Drosophila melanogaster: one gene and its partner. The protein of the gene in region 2 purifies or fractionates together with the protein of the main gene of each other region. This does not show direct contact. Each region holds a gene or a part of one and is shown on either strand. Other genes may lie near its edges.

Region 1 (4,548 bases), on a different chromosome or scaffold from region 2:
ATCTCATCAAGGATCGTCTTTATTGTGGTGATGATCACGAGCTACTGGCCATTCGTCAAACTCTTACCCACTGCTATCAACAACTCTGCAAGAGCTTATGGCCCATTGTTCCCTTCCTGGTGGAGGAAAGCTGGAGCTACTATGACACCACAGGTGGTGCATTCCACGAGCAAATTGTTCAGACTAATCCTGAATGGCAGGACACCAAAGCCACTGAAGTGATTAATGCAGCGTTCGATGTTAAACGACTTATTAACCAACAGGCTGGAGATGTTAACACCTGGCACTTGGCCGTGACCATCAAAGGAAAGGAAAGAAGCCAGCTGGATTTGCTGCGAGAACTTCACAGCCCTCTTGGAGAGTCTGTGAGCAATTCTGAATTATGCGAGATATTGCAAGTGGGGTCAGTTACGCTCTTACAGTCCCATAATAGCGACTTGGATATTGCTTTAAGTAAACTTCAGATATCACTGTGCCCACGTTGTCGTCGCTATGGTCTGGAGGATGAGCAGAAAACGTGTCAACGTTGCTCTGACGTTATGGAGGCAAAGAACTAAGCGTAATGATGTGTTGTTATTTAGGTGTAAGGAATACATTTATGTTTTTAAAAACTCTGTAAGCATTTCATGATGGTGTCTCGCAGCTTGAGCCGGGTTGTTGGCTTTCCGCCGCAGATAATATGCGTCTCGTTGTCCTCGAACTTAATGACTGTGTCCTCATTGACAAGGTTCAGAGTCAGAGCGCCGCCAGTGCGGTCTAGCTTGATGTTGGAGAAGCCATCCTGTGCCAGCTTCTTCATCACTGCATCTACATCAATGCTGCCATACTCGTATTTGACGTTCTTCAGCACATCCTCCTTTGTCGGAGCGCTGTTGCTCGAGATGGTCTCGTCTTTAACGCTATCCGCACATGGCTGGATGCAGTGGACCTTGTCCTTAACTTGCAAAACTCCTGTCAATGTGGAGAAGGTCACGCCGGCCGCCACCTCCTTTGGCGATATCTTTTGGGCCAGTTCCGAGGTAATGTAAATTCGATCCAGCTTCCGTTTTAATGGCAGACGTATGATCTCGCCGCACTTGAACGTTATTATCTTCTTATCCGGCTGTTCAATGAACAAATTTGGGGCCGAGGGATGTGGTTTTGTGTATGCCTCTGGGATGACAAGCACATTTGGTTTCAACTCCTTGATCAGCTTATTTGCCTGCTGATAATTCAAAGAGGTGTCGATGGGACAGTAAAAAGCCTTCATGGCCAGTGGTTGGAAGGGCGCCAGTACTTGCAGATACGGAAAGTCCGGCTCCGTGAATATGATGGAGTTGTTAGGGTTATTGCCCCACATCTCGATAAAGTGAACAGCGTCGCCGAAACGCAAGCTAGGATGGCCACAAAAGACCACGCAGGGCTGTAAGGAAGACAGAGAATTTGTAGTATGAAGTTTTCACAATTATGTTAGACAAACCTGCCGGAAGTCCTTGCTAAAGCCCTCGGAGAACACATGGTTATAGTGCTTCAGCTTGTTGTTGCGAAGGTAAAAGGCATGTGGGAAAGGATCGTCTGGAAGATACACTTTGTTCTGCTTGGCGGAACTAAGCCACTCGGCCAGGATATTAGAATACGCCAAGGAGCTGTCTGCCACAGGGGAAATAAAGAACATGGGAACATTGTTTAGGCCAGCGTTTTCCAAATTCTGGGTGAGGCACTCAAAGAGGTCATAGACAACGCCCGAAGGATAACAGGGAATCAAGGCAGACCCATTGTTGCGGATCGTCAAGGCCACATTCATGCAGAGCTCGCCCAGCTTCGTGTCCGGATTTACCGTCGGCGCCTGCGTCAGTCCGGTCATAATGAGTACATCGGCGTGCTTCAGCGCCGACTGATTGATGGGCCGCGGATGTGTGGTCAACGTGGAGGAACCACTGACATAGCAAATCTTTTCATGCGCCGTGCTCAGTACCCAGTTGCTCGAGCCCAGGCAGTAGCCCGAGCTGACAGGAGTGGCGATAAAAGCTCCGAGGATGTCCAGCTTCTCGTCGTAGCCCATGATGGTCACCTTGGACAGACTGCCTTGGACATCCTTAAGACTAAAGATAGTGCGCCACTTCTTGGCGCGAAAGGCTTCGCTCAAGGGACTGGGCAGCAGATGAAGCTTCTCCTTCCACAAGCGCGCGGTGCACGCCTTGGGCGACACTTCGATATAGTCCACCAGCTCCTCCAGGAAAAATCGGCCGATCTGCAGCGTTGGCTCCGTGGCATAGACTTTGCCCTTGAACCCCGTGTTTTCCGTGATATACGGCAAGGCCAGCATATTAAGATAATTCGAGATAAGTATCACATCCACTTCGCTGAAATCCAGCATTTTGTCCATGGGTAGATTAAACTCGGGCGTCGAGTCCACGAAAACCCGGCCACAGCAGTCCTTCAACTCGCCATCCATTTGGGGATCATGATCCCGACTGGGCACGAAGTTGGGCAGATTGGACCACTTCAGTGACTGAACGAAGGGCAGCGGAAGGAAATTCAGGACTGTCTGCTCCGTGAGACCGCAGTCCAGCATAATCCGCAGGCCCTTGAAGGTAATGATATAACATGGCTTGGCCAGGTCCCCGCTGAGACAATACTGCAAAGTGGATAGTCACTTCCGCTAATTAAGTTGTTATTTACTTCTCAGGATGACTTACCAATCGCATTTTATTAAACCGACAGTGCCGATTAGACGATGCAAGTTTGTTTATATTTGGACCAGGGATGGGGAACGATTTGGTTCACTTATGAACCGGAATCAGCACCCGGCTAAATCATTAACCATAGGTACCAAAATTAGTTAATTACAAATTTTGGTAAATGTTTTACTACTTGTTAAACTGTAGTCATCACGCTTTAACATTTGTGCAACCACATTTTTTTCACTCCACTTGTTGCAGTGCTGTTGGTTTCCATCCCTGGTCTCTTTATTTGGTTTTTCGCAAATTTGAATAATGTCCCAGCAAATTCGCGTGGTACAATGCATTCAATGCAAAATGTACCAGGTGAGTGCAAACAAACTGAAATATATCTTAGAACTCAATAACTACTTATATATATATACCTAATTTAAACAAGGTGGACTTCGTGAAAAAGGCAAGCACATGGCAGTGTAAAATTTGCCGCCAAAAGCAAAGTTTGCTCAAGGAATTCTTTCGAGGATCGGCAGCGGAATGCCGGGTTAAGGTGCAGCATCTCAACTTAGAGCGCGGAATGCAGGAGGAATGTCTGAACACGGGCTTATTCCTCACGGCAAAGCAACAGCTCGAAGAGGAGAAAGACTGCCAAGAAAAAGAGGAAAACACCACACCTCAGAAGAAAACAAATAAATGGGCAAACTATGTGGATAATACCATTGAAACTACTCAAAAGCCTGCAGCAAAACCTACGAAAACCGATGAACTTTCCGACGAAATCTCTATGAACTTTAAGAAAACCAGGAACACAGGGCCACGATCCTCTAAACGTTCCGCTGAAAATATGCCAACAGTTACTAAGAAAATTTGCTCTAAGTGGAACGACTTCTTGTAATTCCTTAAAAATTATATATCATATATATAAATATATATTTGAATTAATTTCAATTAGAACTTATTTATAAAGCGAAGAATATTATCAGTGCTAGATTATCTCCAATTAAGATTTCCAGTTACGTGAATGAATTAAGCTTATCTTTATTAAAAAAATAATTTAATTATAATTGTTCAATACGTTTTATTAAAATCCGCTTCGTTCTAGTATTTGTGTATATGAGTGTGAGGGCCATAATGTTCACATTCAAACTGAATACATTGCCTTGCCTTGCACTAATGCTAGAAAAATACAAGTTTTATGATCCACTAAATATTGTTAGTTAAAGTTGGGGTAATTTGGGATTCACTAATCGCCGATTGGGCAACATGTTGGACATGCTTAGCTCCTTGTGCCCCAATCGGTTTGAATACTCGTGTATAGATTAGAGTTGGTTATAGTTAAGTGACGCCTGGTCGCGCTTTTATCTTGAGAGAAATTGTAATATTAGTAGCCGACTACGTGTATATAACCTATTCTCGCCGCTTAGGTGCTGGCAGGAGTGCCTCCGACACCCTCCTTCTTGGCCACCTTCTCATCGGAGCCGGTCTCATCGATGTCATTGGACTCGGTCTCCGTGCCGGGTGCACCACCTGCCTTGCCCGATGACCTACGTCGCTTGCGGTTGACACGCCATGGACGCATTGGAAACTTCATCGCCGGCAATGGCTCCATGCCAAGCACTTTGTAAATCTGTCGAAAGGCAATGTAGCGCAGGAAGAGCTGTGCGGACACAGTGAGATCCTCGCGCTCCTGTTTGGTCAACTCGAGTAGAGCGTCTGTGGGGTCCTTCTCGCAAGGATCCAGCAGGCCCGGTCCGTTGATTAGAAAGCCTGACGATAAGGCCTCCATGATGCGACGCATGCAGTCACCGGGCGAAATGGGAAAGCCAGCCGACGAGATGACCTTCTCTACGAGGAGCTCCAAAGACCATTGGGGCAGCGATTGCCAGGAAGA
Region 2 (6,009 bases):
TTTTTTAATATTTATGCAGCAGTGCGTGCAAATTCGAACGCGAGACGATCCGCTTTTCGCTGCATCTATGCGCTGAAGATGTGCTGCAGTCGATGGGCTCGTCGATAGTGGGAAGGCTCGGTGCCGGCACTATCGATTCCCAACACCATACGATAATATCGGCTAAGTTATCAATATCGAAGTTTACTATATTTCGGGTTTTTGCGTTTTAAAAATTGGCAAATCTACCTTATACAACATTTTTGTAAGAAGTAAAAAGTAGTTTCTCTTATGGATGCATCGATAAAAACTCGGCTCACATCGCTCTAAAAGTGTGTCACCACCAACAGAAAACCAAAACAAACACGACGCGAACAGTGTGACCAGCACACCAAAAATTAAAAAAAGGAACAAAAACGTTTAAATATGGGTCGTCTTGATTTGAAATATGTTTAGTCATTTAAAACATTGTTTTGTTACTGTATTGTTATTTATTTTATCTGCGCCGGCGAAATAAAATCTCATTTTATGTTCAAAACGTAGTTATCAAAAATATTATCTATTTCACGGAAAAAACTTTTAGCTTACTTCACAGAGAGGTTTTTTTTGACTGGAAAACGGCTTAGCTCGGAATTAGTAACAGTCCGAAATCATGTTCTCATCGTCGCGCTTCAGCGCACCGAGGATGTCATCCAGCAGGGAGGTAAAGTTCTCCTTGCACTCGAACCACTCCTGGTGCTGCTTAACCAACTGGTCCAGGTCAATGGTCTTGAGCTCCTCAAAGAACTGCCGCAATGGCACCGCGAACTGCTTATAGTAGAACTCATCGATGTGCCGCTTCTCCGCTGTTTTCCCTTGCGCGTTTATCTGCATCTGGGTCTCAAACGCCTTCTCCAGGAGCTGTGCATCCTGCGAGTTCAATATGGACTCGATGACTTCGTCCGCCTCGGTGGGATTGACCGGTGGCTGCTGTGGAATCGGAGTTGGCTGCGGCTGGGACGGGAAGTCGAATCTTGGCCGCTCTCTGTCTGAGAGCGGCGATCTCATTTCAATCTCCTCCATTATGCCCTTGTAGCGCTCGAACTTCTCCGTCATGGTCTTGACGCCTTTAATGAGGAATTCCAAAACCTCCATTGAAGTCTCCTCGCGCAGGCACTTGAGTAGGATGCCAAAATATCCGTACTGCTGTACTTCACCAAAAACTTTGGCAATGCTGGTTTGGATCTCTTTCTCCGTCAGCGTGACAATCTTCTTCTGCTCCTTAGAGAAGGTCACTGTGGGAAAAGAGCCATCTATCATGCCCTGATTGCTAAACTGGCGGTAGAACTCGCGGCGCCAAAAATTTAAAGCATTCAGCTTCACCTCCGTGTGATGATCCCCGATTACACAATAGTTGAGGGTTGAGAAGAGGGTGTTCTTGTACTTCTCGTGGATCTTGCGGTGCTCGTAGATCTTCATCAGCGTAATCACGGCCTCGGATCTCACGATATCGTTGGTCTCCCGATACATTACAAACAAAAGATGGTCCTGTCGAGAATTCAAAGTGTTTAATTAATAATTTTTTCCGAGTATATGTGTAAATAGATTAACTCACTACAAGATCGAGCTGGCTTAGACCATTCTCCCACAAAAGGTTTATGGAGACCATTTGGGAAAGACACTGGAAGGCAGACGCTCTTACATAGACTTCCGAGTCATTCTTGGCCATTTCGTAAACTATCGGGGGTATCTTTGAGTCGATTAGAAAGCGTTGGAAGGCGGGAAACTCTGTAGAAGCAACGTATCATTAATGTTAGGCACTACGTTAAGATAATCACACGCTTACTGATGCGGGAGATACTGGCTATAGAGGTGGTAAGCTCCAGCGTTGTGTCACGCACCTCCCACATTGTGTCGTGCATTCGCTTCACAATAATGGGACCCAGACAGACCAGCGCGGAGCCCTGCAAGTTGTCCACCAAAAGAGCCATGTTCGGTGAAAGGAAATGCTCCACAGCGAGTTGGACGAGCTTCAGCGCTTGGACAGTGCACTGCAAATGAAGAATCACATTTTACTATTTTAACCCGCTAGAAATGAGAGTTTGTTTTGCTTACCCTAGCATCCATGCTTGTGTTCTCCAGGACAAATGCCAGACAATTGACCAGGCCAATGGTCTCCACCGACTCCTTCCACGTGATCTTAAAGCGTTCGATCAAGGTGCGCAAACCCACCATTACGGAATGCAAAACTTGTGGATCGTTAACGACCTGTTCGGTGCCCCGGGGGTACAATTTTAGGTAGGAGCTGCCCGCGCTGCTCACGCTGTGACAGTCATCCTCCCCATTATTTGTGATGACACTCATGGCCACTGCCTCGCGGAGCACATATAGCAAAGCTTGGCACACAGTAACCGCCTGCTCTCGATCGAGAACGTTTTCCAGGGCCAACAGGCTATGTATGCACTTGTTTGCCAGGCCGGCCGTCACCAAGCCAACAGCCATGCCGTCTGCAGAAAAGAAGTTGTCCCGCATTGTGTAGCAGAGCCGCAAGGTCTGTTCGCAGGAGATCTCCAGCAACTTGACAACATAGGCGTCGAAGAGCTCTATCTTGCTCTCCTCGTCGGCGATCTTCTGTGCGTACTTCATGGAGAAGAGCAACGGCAGCATGTGAAAGCAGATTAGCTGGTTTTCAAACGTAACGCGCTCTTGTTGGATGACAATTTCCTTGGGCGCACGAGGTCCAAGTTTTTTCCAAAGTACATGATTGAGCTCCGCCAACTTCACAAAACTCAAGCCGTCCTTGCGGGTAATAAGGAATTTCATGAGATTAAAGAATGCCAACCCGAACTCGGTGAACTCCTCCGACGGCTCGGTGGCGTTCGGATTCAGCAACTTTTCGTGCAACAGCAGGGCAAAGTTGTAGCTGCTCAGTGTGGTGAAGATCTTCTCAGTAAAGTACGGGTTGTGGGTCATATCGATCAGCTTCCAAACGGTAATCTCGAAGTCGTGATGCTCCTTGAGCAGGATGATCAGAGTGGTGCGCTCCTCGAGCACCAGCGTCTGCTGTAGTATGTAGGACAGTAGATCCAGTGTCGACGAGATCTTGTGCAACATCTCGTTGTCGTCCACCTTGACGTGGATGCGCTCCACGCCGTCGGTGTTCTTATAAAGATTGTCGTGAATCGGCTGCATAATCTCCGACAGAATCTCCAGGGTAACAGCCTTATCGTGCAGCTTGTCGCAGGACTTGTACACCATGTTGTAAAGCACTTGGCGGGCCTCCCGCACCACGTACAGCGTGTGATCGTTGTTGGAATACTGGATGAGCAGCGTCCAGATCCGGTGCATCCGCAGAAAGGCCAGCCCCATGCTATACACGGTGATGGCTTTCATCAGACGTATGCCACCTAACTTAATCGATGGGCTTAAGTTGTGTTCCCTCTGTAGTAGTTTCACTGCTCTAAAATGGTAGTCGATTATTTTAAGAGATTAGAGCCTGGTTTTCTATCCTACCATTTACCTGTTTACTATATCAAGCTCTCTTAGGCGCACGATCATCCACTCGTTGTTCGCCAGAAAACTGGTCAGATTCAGCATGAAGGATATCACCTTCGGGTGGATCTTTTTGAAGTCCTCGGTCACCGCCGTGATGCACCTGTCCACCCATTCCACCACGAATGGGGCCTGCAGCACAAAGGCATTCTCTGCGGACAGATGGGATTCATTTGAGGATTTAAGGGCAGATTGCGGGGCCACTCCGATTGGTAAACTCACCCTTGGCCTGCAAGTGCGTGAGGAGCTTCTCAAAGTAAACATTGTTCGTAGTGGAAAAGTTCTCGCGTAAAAATATGTCGAATATCGTTCGCAGGCGCGACAGCGTCTCTTCTTGCTTTTGCATCTTGCTGTTTCCACACTGACTGCTTAAATGGCGACTGCCCCTTATGGCATAGTTTTGGAGCTTGCAATTGATCCACCGAATAATGAAATCGTTGATTGCGGGTTCTGGTTCTTATCACACCGAAAGACACTTGTTTTGTATTGAGTGGCCGTGTACGTTTGCAGTCGAAATCCAAAGCGCATTCGCCAGGGTTGCCAGGTGAGCGGTCAAAGTCACGCATCGAAACATATAACGGTGCATAGTTTCCCTTTTATTCTTTGCTAATAAGTAATACCATTACTACCATTAATTAAAATTACCTAATTATACTACTTAATATTGCAGAAAGAAGAACTCTGTACAAAACATTTTCGTTATGTTTATACCTCAAAGATTACGGTCTTTATTAAATATTTTTTAATTACATACCTTTTTTCCATATTTCTAAAAGCTTTTGCATAGAAAAATGTCTTGAATTACGAGTTTTCATTTTTAATCATTTATATCTCTTGATCGACTCGTCGGAACTATACTAGGTTCACTCTTCTCCACAAGTAATGGGTATCAATATGGTTCGGTTTCGCACCAGTCACTTGATCACGATACGCTCTCATCACTACCAAGAAGTGTCGTGCGGTGAAAGCCGTAAATAGTTGCCATGGTCACACTGTTTTTGATGCAAAATAATATAATGACGCTGACATAGAATCGGCTCTAGGGAACGTATGATGGATAACAATGTAGAGCAATTAGCAGGAAAGAGCCAAACTGAAACAGCCGAGTCCACAGCAGCAGCAACAGGAACAGCAGGAGCAGGTGTAGCAGTAGTAACCGTGGCAAGTGGAGCCGGACCAACGCCCGGCGCAAACTCCTCGACCTTTTGGAAAAACAGCGGACGTCGAGTGCCCGGACGACCCAGTCCCAAGCGGGAGCTCGAGAAGGCGGCGGCAGTTGGGGTAGCGGTCGGTCGCGGCGCTGCCCCCGGATCTGGCATGGTGTCCACCTTCACCGAGTACCAGAAGTCGGTGAGCGATGCCTGGGACATGGGTGACGACGAGTTCTGCATCATCAGCAGCACGGAGGCGGCTGCCGCGGCCGTTGGAGCTGGCGGTGGGTTCCGCAACCCCGATGGTTTTCCTCAACCTCTGATCTCGTTTTGATCCCCCAACAGATGCGGCTCATTTCTCCCGGCAAGTGTCGCAGACGGTGGCTCTCAACGTGATCGAGACGCACTCTCGAAGCAACCAGAACCATAATGCATCCCGGTCAGCAAACGAAAGTGGCGCAGATTTGGTCCCAGTCAGCAGTAGCTCGACGGACGACTGCAAGGAAGACCGTAGATCTCTGCCGGACAGTAATGAAAACAGGTGAGCGGCGCCAACTCAACTGGGAAGTCAAAAAGAAAGTTGAACCCAATGCCTGCAGTTGTGCAAATAAGTCAGGGGTGTAGAGCGGATCGAACCCGCTTTCTGAATTATTTCCTAGGTGCTATTTAAAAAGCATTAACGTGTTTATTATCAAAGTAGAAACTAAAGATATGAAGAATTCCGTCATATGGGAGTTGAAATACTTACAATAGATTCAAATTTTGAAACGGTACTTTACAATATACAATATACAATATTACTATGTAATTAGGTTAAAATTACCTATATATGTTGTTAATCATTGGGGCGCTCCTAACTTATTATTGCCATTCGCCACGTTTTAACGAGTATTAACACCAACTTGGCAACCGCTCCTGAAGCATTTCACTTTCTTAACTGATAGCCACTCCCAGCTATTCCCACAGAGCAATGTCGGGAGACGCGGAACTAAGACCGAAAGTAATCAAGACTTCAACGGTTAGTAATATATATTGCCATTTCAGATCTAGATTGAGGAACTACCCGGGCAGACCGCAATTGCAGAAGATCAGCTCGAATTGCCAGGACAGCGAGTACGAGACGAAAATTGAAAAATTCCAAGTGGTGCTAGACTCGCCTCAACTGGACTTGGTGGCCCTCAAGAAGATCAGCTGGTCTGGCGTGCCTCGGAAGGTGAGAATCGAACAAATATTTCGTTGTGTAATTCTAATTAAACCGAACTCCAGATGCGCGCTGTCAGCTGGCGACTCCTTTCGAAGTATCTTCCGCCTTCAAGTGAGCGAAGGATGGCGGTGCTAGAGAGCAAGC

Evidence for each region.
Region 1: the proteins of CG7044 (region 2) and IntS9 purify together in Drosophila melanogaster (affinity purification with western blotting; one study listed by BioGRID). This does not show direct contact.

Annotation. Positions count from the first base shown.
Region 1 is NT_037436.4:16,102,877-16,107,424, forward strand, and holds IntS9 (integrator 9), read right to left. Parts: upstream 2,752-4,548; 5' UTR 2,688-2,751; coding exon 2,679-2,687; intron 2,618-2,678; coding exon 1,460-2,617; intron 1,403-1,459; coding exon 605-1,402; 3' UTR 558-604; downstream 1-557. Other genes in the region: IleRS-m (Isoleucyl-tRNA synthetase, mitochondrial), read left to right, coding at 1-557; CG43295 (uncharacterized protein), read left to right, coding at 2,976-3,026, 3,100-3,552; Zn72D (Zinc-finger protein at 72D), read right to left, coding at 4,078-4,548. UniProt on the Drosophila melanogaster protein: Component of the integrator complex, a multiprotein complex that terminates RNA polymerase II (Pol II) transcription in the promoter-proximal region of genes.
Region 2 is NT_033777.3:21,097,717-21,103,725, forward strand, and holds CG7044 (uncharacterized protein), read right to left. Parts: upstream 4,003-6,009; 5' UTR 3,857-4,002; coding exon 3,733-3,856; intron 3,663-3,732; coding exon 3,479-3,662; intron 3,419-3,478; coding exon 2,074-3,418; intron 2,010-2,073; coding exon 1,805-2,009; intron 1,747-1,804; coding exon 1,574-1,746; intron 1,507-1,573; coding exon 613-1,506; 3' UTR 513-612; downstream 1-512. Other genes in the region: Tbc1d22 (TBC1 domain family member 22), read left to right, coding at 4,561-4,945, 5,007-5,202, 5,706-5,874, 5,928-6,009.